2 linked regions of the Arabidopsis thaliana genome follow. The protein of the gene in region 2 interacts with the protein of the main gene of each other region in a pairwise test. Each region holds a gene or a part of one and is shown on either strand. Other genes may lie near its edges.

Evidence for each region.
Region 1: the proteins of LCL1 (region 2) and AT5G64170 interact in a protein complementation assay, tested with the Arabidopsis thaliana proteins (one study listed by BioGRID).

What each region holds. Positions count from the first base shown.
Region 1 is NC_003076.8:25,671,877-25,678,639, forward strand, and holds AT5G64170 (dentin sialophosphoprotein-like protein), read right to left. Parts: upstream 4,948-6,763; 5' UTR 4,676-4,947; intron 4,165-4,675; 5' UTR 4,059-4,164; coding exon 4,035-4,058; intron 3,696-4,034; coding exon 3,163-3,695; intron 3,049-3,162; coding exon 2,739-3,048; intron 2,473-2,738; coding exon 1,861-2,472; intron 1,701-1,860; coding exon 1,567-1,700; intron 1,347-1,566; coding exon 1,211-1,346; intron 1,130-1,210; coding exon 1,028-1,129; 3' UTR 935-1,027; exon of another isoform or gene 843-934; 3' UTR 590-842; downstream 1-589. Other genes in the region: AT5G64160 (plant/protein), read left to right, coding at 1-142, 229-442; AT5G64180 (tropomyosin), read left to right, coding at 5,287-5,463, 5,906-6,062, 6,186-6,328. UniProt on the Arabidopsis thaliana protein: Transcriptional coactivator necessary for expression of the clock genes PRR5 and TOC1. Antagonizes REV8 function in the regulation of anthocyanin accumulation. Involved in red light input to the clock. Activates clock-controlled genes with afternoon peak.
Region 2 is NC_003076.8:646,726-652,576, forward strand, and holds LCL1 (LHY/CCA1-like 1), read left to right. Parts: upstream 1-1,922; 5' UTR 1,923-2,068; coding exon 2,069-2,262; intron 2,263-2,878; coding exon 2,879-2,936; intron 2,937-3,029; coding exon 3,030-3,153; intron 3,154-3,236; coding exon 3,237-3,395; intron 3,396-3,504; coding exon 3,505-3,630; intron 3,631-3,708; coding exon 3,709-3,818; coding exon of another isoform or gene 3,819-3,845; exon of another isoform or gene 3,846-3,960; coding exon of another isoform or gene 3,961-4,056; exon of another isoform or gene 4,057-4,130; intron 4,131-4,135; coding exon 4,136-4,195; intron 4,196-4,436; coding exon 4,437-4,487; 3' UTR 4,488-4,561; exon of another isoform or gene 4,562-4,880; 3' UTR 4,881-5,254; downstream 5,255-5,851. Other genes in the region: AT5G02830 (Tetratricopeptide repeat (TPR)-like superfamily protein), read right to left, coding at 1-56, 145-309, 420-527, 633-837, 954-1,041, 1,117-1,696; AT5G02850 (hydroxyproline-rich glycoprotein family protein), read left to right, coding at 5,434-5,851.

The sequences.
Region 1 (6,763 bases), about 25 Mb from region 2:
TCATGGAAGCAAAACCTCAACTAGTAGGAATCCATGAGAGAGTAAGAAACGATATTGATGCACCCCCATCTTCAGAGAGTGGTGAAAAGCGGATATCTACTGCAACCAATCCTAATGCAGAAGAATCTGCAGATCTCTTGAGGTATGAATAACCCTTGCCCTCTTCTTCATTCTTTAGTATAAATTTGCACAATGTGAGCTTGATTAGGATTTCTATGATGAGTTTAGGATGTGTGTGCAATGCGGTGTACCGAAAACATATACAAGCGCAAGAGGAATGGTATGCCCGATTTGTGGTGACCGGCCATTACCGGACGTAGACGCGAAGAAGAAAGGCTCTACGATCAAAGATAAAGAGAAGAGCAAAAGAATGAGAGGACAATCTTCTCACGCTTCTTGGAAAAGTGAAACCGAGATGCAGCTTAGGCAAACTTTCGATTAGTGTTTCTTTTACCTTTTACTACATTTGTACCATCCAAATCCAATTTCTGTAACGTAGCTTGTGACACAAAGGTTAATCTTATAATTTGCTTCGGAATGTCTAATTTCATCATTATTGAAATATATATATTTATGAGATCATCAAATATTTATTGGAAAATAAAACCCTAAAATTCGCTATTTTGAAAAAAAGAGAGTAAATACACAGCAGAATATTTTATCGCATTACAAAACGAACTAACATCTTTATCTACAGAATTGCTATGTCTCTACTTCTTCCTCTACTTAACAACTTGAACAGATTACAAAGGTAAAGAACATATCTTAAAGACCTGGTTCGAGCAACCAGGTGTACAATCAGGTTCGAGCAACCAGGTGTACAATCAGGTTCGAACCGAAATCTAGACCAGAAAGTTATCTCAACACATAAATACAACTGTGTTACAAAATCCATGATTCTAATGAAGAAGCAGTCAGGATTTTAGTAACTAACCTGAGCAATTTCGCTTAGCCAAAATCGAGATTAGTGTTAACAACAATATCTCGAATGCTTCAGCAATGAAAGAGCCAGTTTTATTTGACATCATTAATTGTTGTCACTTGTTACAACTTCTGCTTCGGGTCTAAGTTCTGTAGTTTCCTCTTGTTTCTCTATCCTCAGGCTCGGACTACTATTGGGCTGAGGAATCTGTGTAGATAGTGATGGGTAAAATGAGGCACTGTGTTTTGCACATTAAATGGCGGTGTAAGAATCGAAGGTTTAACTTACCATTGGATGAGATTTATAAGACAGAACATTGTTATCGGATGAAAGAGATGAGTCTGAGGGCCTGTGAAACAGCAAATGAGCTATCGATCGATCTATCGGGTTTGTATCAGTTTCGATATCCATGAATCCAGCATACCTGGATGAGACCACATACAGATATCAAAGATTAGAATCTAAGAGAAATGAAGGACGAGTACAAGAGCCCAAGTGGAAGTTTCTAAAGAAGAGAGTTACTAAATCTGTCAAGACTCGAGTCTAATCCTATATAAAGTTATAAGTTGGCATCAAGAACTTTACTTAGCAACAGGTGATAAAGGGTGAACATATTGAATAATTATGTAGGATGTGGTGCTTACTTGTCTGCTTCACCAGTCACGAGATGCGAGCCTGCGCCTTTCTCCGGTCTGTTTCCACCATGATGTCTCTGTTCCGCACTTTTTGCTAATCGGTATAAGCTGTCTCTTATGCAAAGCTTTGTCCTAACATCCAACTGGAGCAAGCAAGTGTATTATCAACCAAGTAAGCAAATGTATATGTAAATTTATTAACATATATACACTTTGATATCAATCACAAAGGAACAGCAAACTTTTACCGATTCCCAGGAAGCCTTTTCCTTATATCAACAATTATCTATTGACAAGTTGTACCTGTTCTATAACTTGTTGAAGCTGGCGAAAACTTGTTGCTTCCAGTGAAATGTCATCCACAACAGAGCTAACACAAGAACTTCCCTGCATATTTGATGTTTCCAATTCAGTTGCAGCTTTTCTGTGGTCATTCTCAAGCCCAATCTTCTGGATAGGAGCAGCATCAGGAAACACCATGGAGTCTGTCTTACTACTCTTCTTGGTATTTGCAGCAAAAGAAGGAGGCATATCTTGCCCAGGCAGCAAGTTGGCTCTCGTTTCAAAGACCTTCCTAAACCGATCATCAACAGTTGGACCTTGTAAGCTCTCGATTGATTGTGCATGATTTGATGTGTATGACTCATTTGAAGCAGAGGAAGGACTGGGTTTGTTCTCAGATTTAATACCAGATTTACTTTCACATGCTGATACTTGAACGGAAGGCTGCTCACAATTGAAATGCGAGTATGGCACATCTCGCTGTTGGAATGCGGAGGGAGGGTAATACTGGTTGGTATCCATTATTTCCCTTGAAATACCACTGTGCTGTAAAGTAAAACTGTTCTCCGAGAACCCATCACTTTTCCCATCCAGATGATGAAGATGATCAGTCTGCTTCTTCTCAAGATTTGCCTGTATAACAAAAATTTGTACTGATATGAAATTGCTGGAATAGTGTCAAGATTTCAACAGTACAAATACTTATCTAATAGAATATCCACTTGCCCTTAACGAAACCATAAACCACCATTGTAAAAAGCGTCATATCATAGTTAGAGGATTTAACTGAGGAAAACGTGCAACTAAATAAGTCATCATAGAAGGTAACATCCCATGTAGTTAATGGTTGCATGTGCCTTGGAAGGCGCAAACAATTCTGAAATAAGAAATTGACTAACCTCTACATCCAGCATCAATATATCCTTCTTTTGCAAACTTGTATCGAATACATTTTGTGATGATTTTCCTTGAGCTGAATCGTCCTCAATAGTATATCCATACTCATCTTCAACAGCATGGTTGGGCTCACTGTTGTTCAAAAAGTCTTCAACCTGCAACATAGCGGTTCTTTGATTTTCCAACATTTTGTCTGGTTTGAGATCATCTGTCATCGCGCCTGCTGTCTCCTCATTTGGCTGGGCAGAAGAGAACCACCCTAAGTCACCTTCATTATTAAGACTATCCAAGCCGAATGTTGAATCACAACTCCTGTGCGTCCAATAAACGAGTGTAGGCTCAGACAAATGTTACCATGTTTCTCCCATAAGCAATGATCCCCAATGTGATAAGAATATATAGAAAAGAGAATATCTAAAATGTTACCTAAGCATGTTGTCCACATCCTCAAAATTTCCTATGTCACCCCAGCCATAGAAGAGATCATTTTTTTCTTTATCTCCATTGTCGAAAAAGCTAAGATCATTTTCAGCATCCGGAATGCTGTTGAGGGAATAATTATATACGCCATCATTCGTTGCAGCGGAAGTGTCACACAACATGGGATCCCCAGTGGAGAAATTTTCAACCACATCTACGTGGCCACCATTGAAACCATGATCTGAAGTATTTGTATCCTCCAATGTCATATCCTGAACATCTTTTCCTGTTCCCGTATCACGAGAAACCGAAGAGCCACCACTATCTTTCTCAGGCCATGGATTTTTTCCTAACATGTTTGCCTCTCTCTTGATAAAAGTATTACTCTTTAGATGGTTTGTTCCACTACCCATATCATCATTTCTTCGTTTCTTCCTGTTACTAACTAGAATTGGAAACTGACCTCCATCCTCATACGCTGAGTCTGGCACTATACCATCATCGTTCCCATGAAATTCATCCGAAAGATAATCGCCTAGCTGAAAGGAAAAGAAAGGAAAGAAAACTTCAGCCACCAATTAGAAATCCACATTACCAAGTCAAAGAAAAAAATGACTAGGGAAACATCAAACCGAGTAGACTAACAAAGTATCCCCAATCCTGCACAGAACACATCCAAGTGGTAGCGATAACAAGAAGTAAAATATGAGATGCAAGAACTGTCCTATATTTTAAACGATTTTGAACCCAATAAAAAAAGGAAATTTCACAACAGTTCATTTTCCGGGAACATACGACAAGAGCAACAACGAAAGATCTAAATCCATAGTCTCATAGAAAAAAGATACACACACATATATGATTGTGACTCCACTCACCTCATGAATGTACAAGTCCGACATTCCTCCCAACTTCAGACTCTTTAATCACCACTAAAATCATGCACATTACCCCGATATGTCATCTCTATTGCAAAACATGTAACTCCCACAAACACTATTTCTGGTTCTGGATAGGAAATATAAATATATTAAACAGCTTCCAATAATAGAGAAATCGAACCCAGCATATAAGAAAACTTGACTTTTCTTATCCAGAATCAAATCCCATGAAACCCGAAATACATGTAATCCAAACCCTAAGAGTTAACCCATTCTTTCAACTATTCATGAATTCCAGAAATTAGACTCAAATTCTACAGCCAAAAAGTCAAATCTCATAGCAAGTAGCACAAAAACAAAGTAGGAGAAAAATCAGATAGTAGGATTCAACCATTTTATGCTCGTAATTTCTAGCAAAATCGAGTTAAACTATCATTATTAAACCGAGAGTTTACAAAAACAACTAAAATCCAGTGAAATGAGGCATTCAATGAAACTAACTGCAACAAAAAAAAAAACAATCAAATCTGAGAAATCCTCAGCTACCGCTGCTATGGAAACACTGAGGATAAGAACCAAATTTTCTAATTAAATTCAATCGAAATAGATTCCATCAAAGCCGAACGAAATAAGCTCACCTGTGAGACAGATTCTTCCACTAGCAACTCCAGAAAACTCCACAGATAAAATTGTTTACCAGAAAACAAAAAACTCAGCAGATAGAAGAGATTGTATCAATTCATCGAAGCTAGATCGAAAAAAAAAACTGTGTAGGACTTTCTAGAGATGTTCGGCAGAAGACGATGAAGGCTTCCTATTTTTTTTTTTTTGACAAACATTTTAAATTTTAATTAAACTATTGTTTTTGTTTCGGGAGAATCAAAAGACAAGTGACCATGATATCAACACGTGGCAACTAAATCAAAAGGTTTAACAGGCTTGGGTTTTTAATATCAGAATTCGTGGACGAGAGAGCAGTGTGAGATCCTATCAGTTCCAGTTTTATTATTGGTACACGTCATTAGTACCTTCTCGAAACTGGGCACGCCTCATCTTCTTATTGGCTTACATCGTAATGATGACATCAGCCTTTATTTACGTATAACAAATTACCATGCGGTTAAAAAAAACAATAGTTATATGGGCCGAAGAAAGCCCAAAGAATCTTTAGTTGTTTTTCCGATCGATCTGCGAGTCGAGTAGTTTTTTTATTTGCCGGCGCCGGGAGAGATCCTTTGATCTTTTTCCGATGGAGGAGCAATTCGGCGGGAGCGATGAGAGATGGAAAGGATCATTGGAGAATATAACGGAGATGGCATCGAATCTCGATTCGCTTCAGAAACTTCTCCTCAAGAAAGCAGTCTTCGTTGAAGAAGACACTTTCTCTAGAGCTTCTCTCGTCTCCGAGCAAGCCCGAACAATCAAGGTTAATCCTTTTTCCTGTGATAAAATTTGAAATTATAGAGCTTAATTGTCTGAATTTTGAGCTTCTTTTCTTTGACTTTGATGATTGCTTCTGTGATTTGTGGATTCGATCTAGTTGATCACGATCGCACTTTTTAGTTTGCTTTAGTACTACTATAGCTCAGTGTAATAGTGTGATTCTGGAATTGCATTTGACGGTGAATTTGGGAACTTGTAGTTGATCATAAATTTTGAATCTTCGATTTTGTGATCTGTTAATGGTACAAATGATCACCAAATCCTTGAAGACTGGACTTGAGGTTTCACTATGAAAACTCCCAAGTGCAATTATGTGTATTAAGTAGAAATTCTTCATGTTGTAAGTAAAAAAGGACTGTGTTACATGTTTGAGATAAGGGATAGTTTCAGATTGTCTCTTAACTCTGTTCAATGGTTTGTTTTAGGTTCTTGAGCAAAGAGTACAAACACTAGAAAGAGAACTAGATGCTGCCATTACAGCTGCTGCTCATGCTCGGTCTGAGAAACGCCAAGCTGAGTCCTCTCAAAAGGCTGCTGAATCACGTGCCCAAGATGTCACAAAAGAGCTTGAAAACACCACAAGTATGCACTTGATAATCACTTCTTGAGTTGATGCCTGGTGGCACCATTCTCTCCCGCACGTTTATCTGCGTTCCAGTTTCATATTCACTCTCACTCACTGACTTATACAACTCTTGGTTTCAGAGGTTTTCAAGCTGCATATGGAAGAGCTTCGAGGAATGCAAGAACAGATATCCAAACGCGATAACGAGATCAAACTCTTAGAAGCTATAATCCAAACGCTCGGCGGCAAAGAGCGGTTGGGAAAAAGCGACGTGAATGGATGATGATGATGCGTTTTTTCACTTGTAAAGGTTTGTACTCCTGAGTTTGTGGAGATGTATCACTTCGAAGATAAATGTATTTTTGTCTGTCTATTTGGTACGTTTTAGAATCTTGCCTGTTCTTTCAAGAAATGAATGTTACATGGGCCTGACCCTATAAATGGGCCTAATGTGAATCGATCGATACTAAAAATGGGTTTTATAGGTGTGTGTGTGTGGTTTTCACACGTTTGCCGCCGATAGTGCTGCGATGCCATCCAGATTCAGTAACGCGGCATCTCCAGGACTCCAGCCGTGTGGAGCAAGAAACTACGTAAATTTGACAGCTGAAGATGCAATTTCACAAAAAGAGAATAAAAGAAACAAAAGAGGATTATGACCAATTTAGAAAAAACTTTTTTCAAAAAAGTGATGCTTCATGGTTTTTAGCGTGTGGGG
Region 2 (5,851 bases):
TTCATATCATCTTTGACTTTGAGTGCCCATTTCCACATCTTTGCATCTGCAAAAACCTGATCTTAAGACATTATTCAGAGACTTAGGGATATAAAAGCAAAAACTAATGATAAACTTAGTTTTCCAAAAATACTGATATTGTACCTTTATAATAGTACAATATGTAAAGGCGTCCAACTTCAACAATCCGGAAGATTCCATTCGTTTTGCTTCTTTGTATATATCCTGGGCAAGATCAACCCGTCCAGCCAGGCAACATGTTTTCAGTAGTATGTTGTAGGATGTCATGTCAGCTGTAACATCAAGTATCTGCCCATGACATGTAGAGTTTCAAGGTCAGTCCACACCCACTCCTAAATCTAAAATACTCTCTAGACAATTCAAATACTTGTATTCAAGAGACAGAAGAAAGAACATACCTGCATATTCTTGTATACTTTTAGTGTGTACCCAAGATCATGGGAATTAACATTCATTAGACTGTTAATAACATAAATATTTGGCTTAATGTTTTCTTTGAGAAGATCCTGCCACAAAATTATGAATTAACTACAAATCTCAAATGCAGGATGGCAGACAAAATCGAGCGTAAAGGATACTTACGCAAAAATACAGTATAATTAGGGAATTACCTCATATATGTACCTCGATTTAACGTAATCACCACACAGGCCACAAACATCTATCATCGTTCGGCATATATACATGTTAGGAGTATCCAAAATCTGTTTGCAGGCTTCATATGCTGTCATAACAGAGACCATATCTCCTTTCTTTCCGAAACCATGAATAATTCTACAAAGCAATAACTCTGTATGCGGCAAAAGACATGCGTATCTGCATTCAATAATCATCAAATCGTTAGCAGAACACACTACATCCAGCATTCTTGTAATAACTTTCTGAATTTGAAAACCATTAACCTGAATCGTTATGTGGGAAACAAGGCTTACCTAATAGCTAATTGAGGATTGGAAATTTCAACACAACTCTTTACAACATCAAAAGGATCCACCAACTCTTTGATTTTGAATCCGAGACCTGAAATAAGAAGCAGGTAATCAATTCAAGAGTTCATAGTCACAGTGTAACAGCAAGAATTGATATAGTATTTACCGGCAAGTATCTCCATTAGATCAATAGCTTTCTCCACTTGCACAGAGTTAGCCATTGCTCGAAACTGTTTCCTCATTAATTTCACAGACGAATCATCGACAAGGTCCAATGGAGCAATTCCTACCTTCTCAATTCTCTTCAAAGTGTAAACGACGCTCTCAATCTTACCTTGTCGAAGATTCGACGAAATCCCTTTCGATAAGAGATCATAATCAACCATGGAAGCGAAACGAGCCACATTAGCTCCGGACTCTGCAGCCAAAGTCTCGGCGATGAGAGCGACGTCCTCAATTCGACCATCCTCAGCTAGCTTCGAGGCAAAATCAGCGTAATACTCAAGCGAGCCATCTGGAATCCATCTTACGACATTGGAGAAGTGGCTAGAGAGAGAATGAGTCGCGGAGACTGAAGCAGGAGAAGGTGAATGTTGCTGCGGTAGTGACGGAAGTAGCTTGGTGAAAGAAGAATTGGATTTAGTTTTCCGGTTGGACTCTGGTGCTGTGGCGTAACAGCGACGGTGGTGATGGTGAGGATTGGTTATGGCGGAGGAGGAGCCAAAGACAATAACAAAGTCTCTCATTCCTCGCCAACGGTTAGGATCATCATCGTATCATCATTGTGGCTCAGTTTTTCTGGTTTTCTAATTTCATGTAAATCAAATGGATTGGATTTGAAAGGCTATTTTTACAACTTCCACACCGGACCGGATTTGTAGTGTTAAAATACACCGGTATATATAAACCGATTTGGTACTTTGATTTTAAATTTTAAGAAATAAAATAAGAAAAAGGAGAAAAATGGATGGCCTGAAATTGCAAGCGAAGCGTCTCCACATATTATACACCAACTTCTTGCCCGCCATGTGGATATCGTCGTCATTTCTCTCTCTAACCCCTTCTCTCTTCAGTCTCTCTCTCTCTAGACGATCTCTATCTTGAATAAAATACCGATAATGACCTCAACCAATCCGGTGGTCGCCGAAGTAATACCGGCGGAAACTTCTACAGATGCTACAGAGACGACGATTGCAACGACGGAAGCTGGTGAAGCACCGGAGAAGAAGGTGAGGAAAGCTTACACAATCACCAAGTCTAGAGAGAGTTGGACTGAAGGAGAACACGACAAGTTTCTGGAAGCTCTTCAATTGTAATTTTACCGCGCTCTTTTTTTCTTCCACCAGCTATTTGATTGACTGATTCTTTGTGTTTCGAGCTCTAATTTATAGCTGAATTTTGCGTAATTTCGCGTAATTTCTACTTAATTTGCTTAATCAGATCGAAGTTTGGTTATGTGGTAGATCATCTGGAGTTTTGCGTATGCAATTGGATTTTGCAGAAGCAACAATGTCTTCTTTGATTTGTTAGGTTGGATTGTATATTCGATAGATCAGAATTTATATTAATCGCTGATGAATGTTTCTTCTCATAAAACCGAAGTATGGTTTAAGCTTATCTTAGGTTGCCAAAATGATTGAGTAGAGGACTTGGCATCTGGTTTCTGCATAAATAGTGGTATTTTGCAGAAGTCGTATCTTTCTTTATTAAAAATGTTTAACATGAGAACTGAAAAAACTTACTACAAGTCAGCTTTTAGAGCTATGCATGAAACCAATTTCCAACTACAGTCCTAAACTACAATTCAGATTTTGGTAATGGTTCGTTACTTCCACATATTACATTGCTCTTTTGTGTGTGTGAAAGGCTTCTCTCTCTTTTAGAAAAAAGAATCTTACTTTGTCCTGACAATTTTCTCGTGTCCTTAGGTTTGATCGTGACTGGAAAAAGATAGAAGATTTTGTTGGTTCAAAGACAGTTATTCAGGTTTGAGATCAGCTTCTTTGGATTTTTGGTTTAATATACAACCTTGGCACATTTCCCCACTCAATCATCCTGTGCCTGTTTGATTTACTGCAGATCAGGAGCCATGCCCAAAAATACTTTCTAAAGGTCCAAAAAAATGGGACTTTAGCACATGTTCCACCCCCTAGGCCTAAGCGCAAAGCTGCTCATCCATATCCTCAAAAGGCATCGAAAAATGGTTAGTTCTATTGTAATAGATATTACTTTGGGTTGACAGATGGAGTAACATGTAATCAATCTGATTTCAACTCAAATCTGCAGCTCAAATGTCGCTTCACGTTTCCATGTCCTTTCCTACTCAAATAAATAACCTGCCTGGATATACTCCATGGGATGATGATACATCTGCATTGTTAAACATTGCTGTAAGTGGGGTTATTCCACCAGAAGATGAACTTGATACTCTTTGTGGAGCAGAAGGCATGCGTTCTCATCTGTACTCAGTTTTTATATTTTGCTTTGGTAGTCTAGTCACTCTATCTTCTGAAGTTTTCATATGCTAAATGCGGCTTACATATCATTGTTTCAGTTGATGTTGGATCAAATGACATGATAAGTGAAACTAGTCCTTCAGCATCTGGTATCGGAAGCTCAAGCAGAACACTATCAGATTCTAAGGGTTTGAGACTGGCGAAACAAGCTCCCTCAATGCATGGTAATTATCTGAACAATTGAGGGACTATTTCTTAGTTTTCATTTTGTGGTGGACGCTGTTGTAATGGTTGCTTTGCAGGTCTTCCTGATTTTGCTGAGGTTTATAACTTCATTGGGAGTGTGTTCGATCCTGACAGCAAAGGCCGCATGAAAAAGCTCAAGGAAATGGATCCTATAAATTTCGAAACTGTGAGTTGGAGCTTTACTTGCCTTTAGATTAACTGATATGTGTGTTGCAGCATATCAATCATTTAGTCTTCTTCTTTGAGTTCCCGAATAAATTCAGCTGTGTGAGAAGATAAATATAAAGATCAGTACTTGCAATATATAGATTCACGAGTTGGAAACACCAAAAAGCCAAAGTACCATGATTCTATGGAGATGTTGGTCAAATAATGGGATTGTTACAACCATGAGTCAGTTTTAGGTGTCATGGTACCTATTTGTAGCTGTCAGTGATTGTTCTTTTTCCTAGTATCCGTCACTAATCACAGTTTTTCTTGCAGGTTTTGCTGTTGATGAGAAACCTCACAGTGAACTTGTCAAACCCTGACTTTGAACCTACTGTAAGTTATAATTTTATCATTACTTCTGTGCTCGTTGAGTATGTGAGGCACATTTGTCTTTTCGTGATAAGAATGAGTGAGAAAAAGTCTCTAACAGCTAACAAACCTACTTACTATCTGCCTTGAAGTTTAACTATAGAAATTAAGACTAGTTCGCCTTTAGTGTGTTATGTTTTTAACCGTTCCAATGATTAAATGAGGATTGTTGTGCTCTATGAGATATAATCTAACCATAATTTAGTCTGAATATGTTGATGCTGCAGAGGAAGGTCATGAACACTTAAGCTCTTAGCTGTTTGTGCACTCAACAAGTTATATATCTTCTTGACGACTTCTTGCTCGCAACAACTCTCTACCAGCTATCAAGTAAGTTTGGTGTTATACCGCATCCCTCCGACACCAATATAAAACACTATAATAAGAACGTTCGCATTGACTTAATAGATTATATCGAAACCTAACACCACAGTTCACTAAGGTTTTCACCTTAATGTTTCTCATTTGTTACTGTAGTTATTGTCTCACATGATCGAACGTCATAATAAGAATGATCTGTAGATCATAACTGTTATATTCTCAGCGTTGCTGCTATTATTCTGATTACACTACCCTTAAGGTCTTAAGAATATTGCTCTTACGGTCTACCAAATTGCTATTGATCTCTGTATATGGTGGATTGTGTCAGATGCATTCTACGGTTGTTGTCTGAGGAGAACATAACTGAGTCGTCGTCACAAACAAGAGGAACATATGCAGTTTCGGTCAGAACCAGTCGTGTGAATGGTAGATATATGTATGTGTGTGTAGAAAATGGTTACCAATTGTATCTTCTTTTTGATAATTATTTTTTCATGCCTTTTGTAATATGTAAGTTTCTTTACCTCGTTCTCTGATTGGTTATTTTCTGGTTATCTGTTTAACCAAAAGCTATGTAACACAGTAGCAAATTGTTACTTAACTCGGAAGTGAGATACATAACTCTGTTGTATTGCACTTGTATCAAGCGTTAACGTCCATGATTCGTCTCTGTTATTGTCAATAACAATTGTTCGAAAGCCAGGTTAATGGTAATTAGGAAATTGAACCGTATCGGTATGGTTTTAGCGGGTCTTTAGACTTTTCTAATTGATACTGAGGGTTTGCGAATTTTGTATAAACAGTTGAACACTAAACAGAGAAGAGAAGCTTCGTCTCTTTAATTATCTTCGATTTAAGAGATTCTTTCGCCGTCGGCGAAGATGCTACAGCATCAGATCGTACAATCTCCGGCGAGATTAGGGTTAACAGGTCCTGGCTCTCCTTCCGTACAAAATCCGACGCCTACTCGTCATGGCCATCCAACCTCTTCTTCATCTTCCCAATCTCAGCACCAACAGATCCAACAACAGCCTAATCTACTTCCTTCCTCCACCGTCGCCGCCGCTTCCTCAGCCTCAGCTTCGGCGGCTGTTTCATCCTCCGCCTTGCTATCGCTCCTTCCTCCATTACCGCGAGCTCAAGCTCTTCTCCAGCAGATGGCGGTTTTGACATCTAAGCTCTTCGACGTCTCTCCCAATCGAGCTATCTGGCTCTCAGCTTTCCGTGGCTCTCTCCCTTCGTTCCTCTCCTCACACTCGTTACCACCTCCGCCGCCGCTTGAAAACCCTAGTCCTTCAT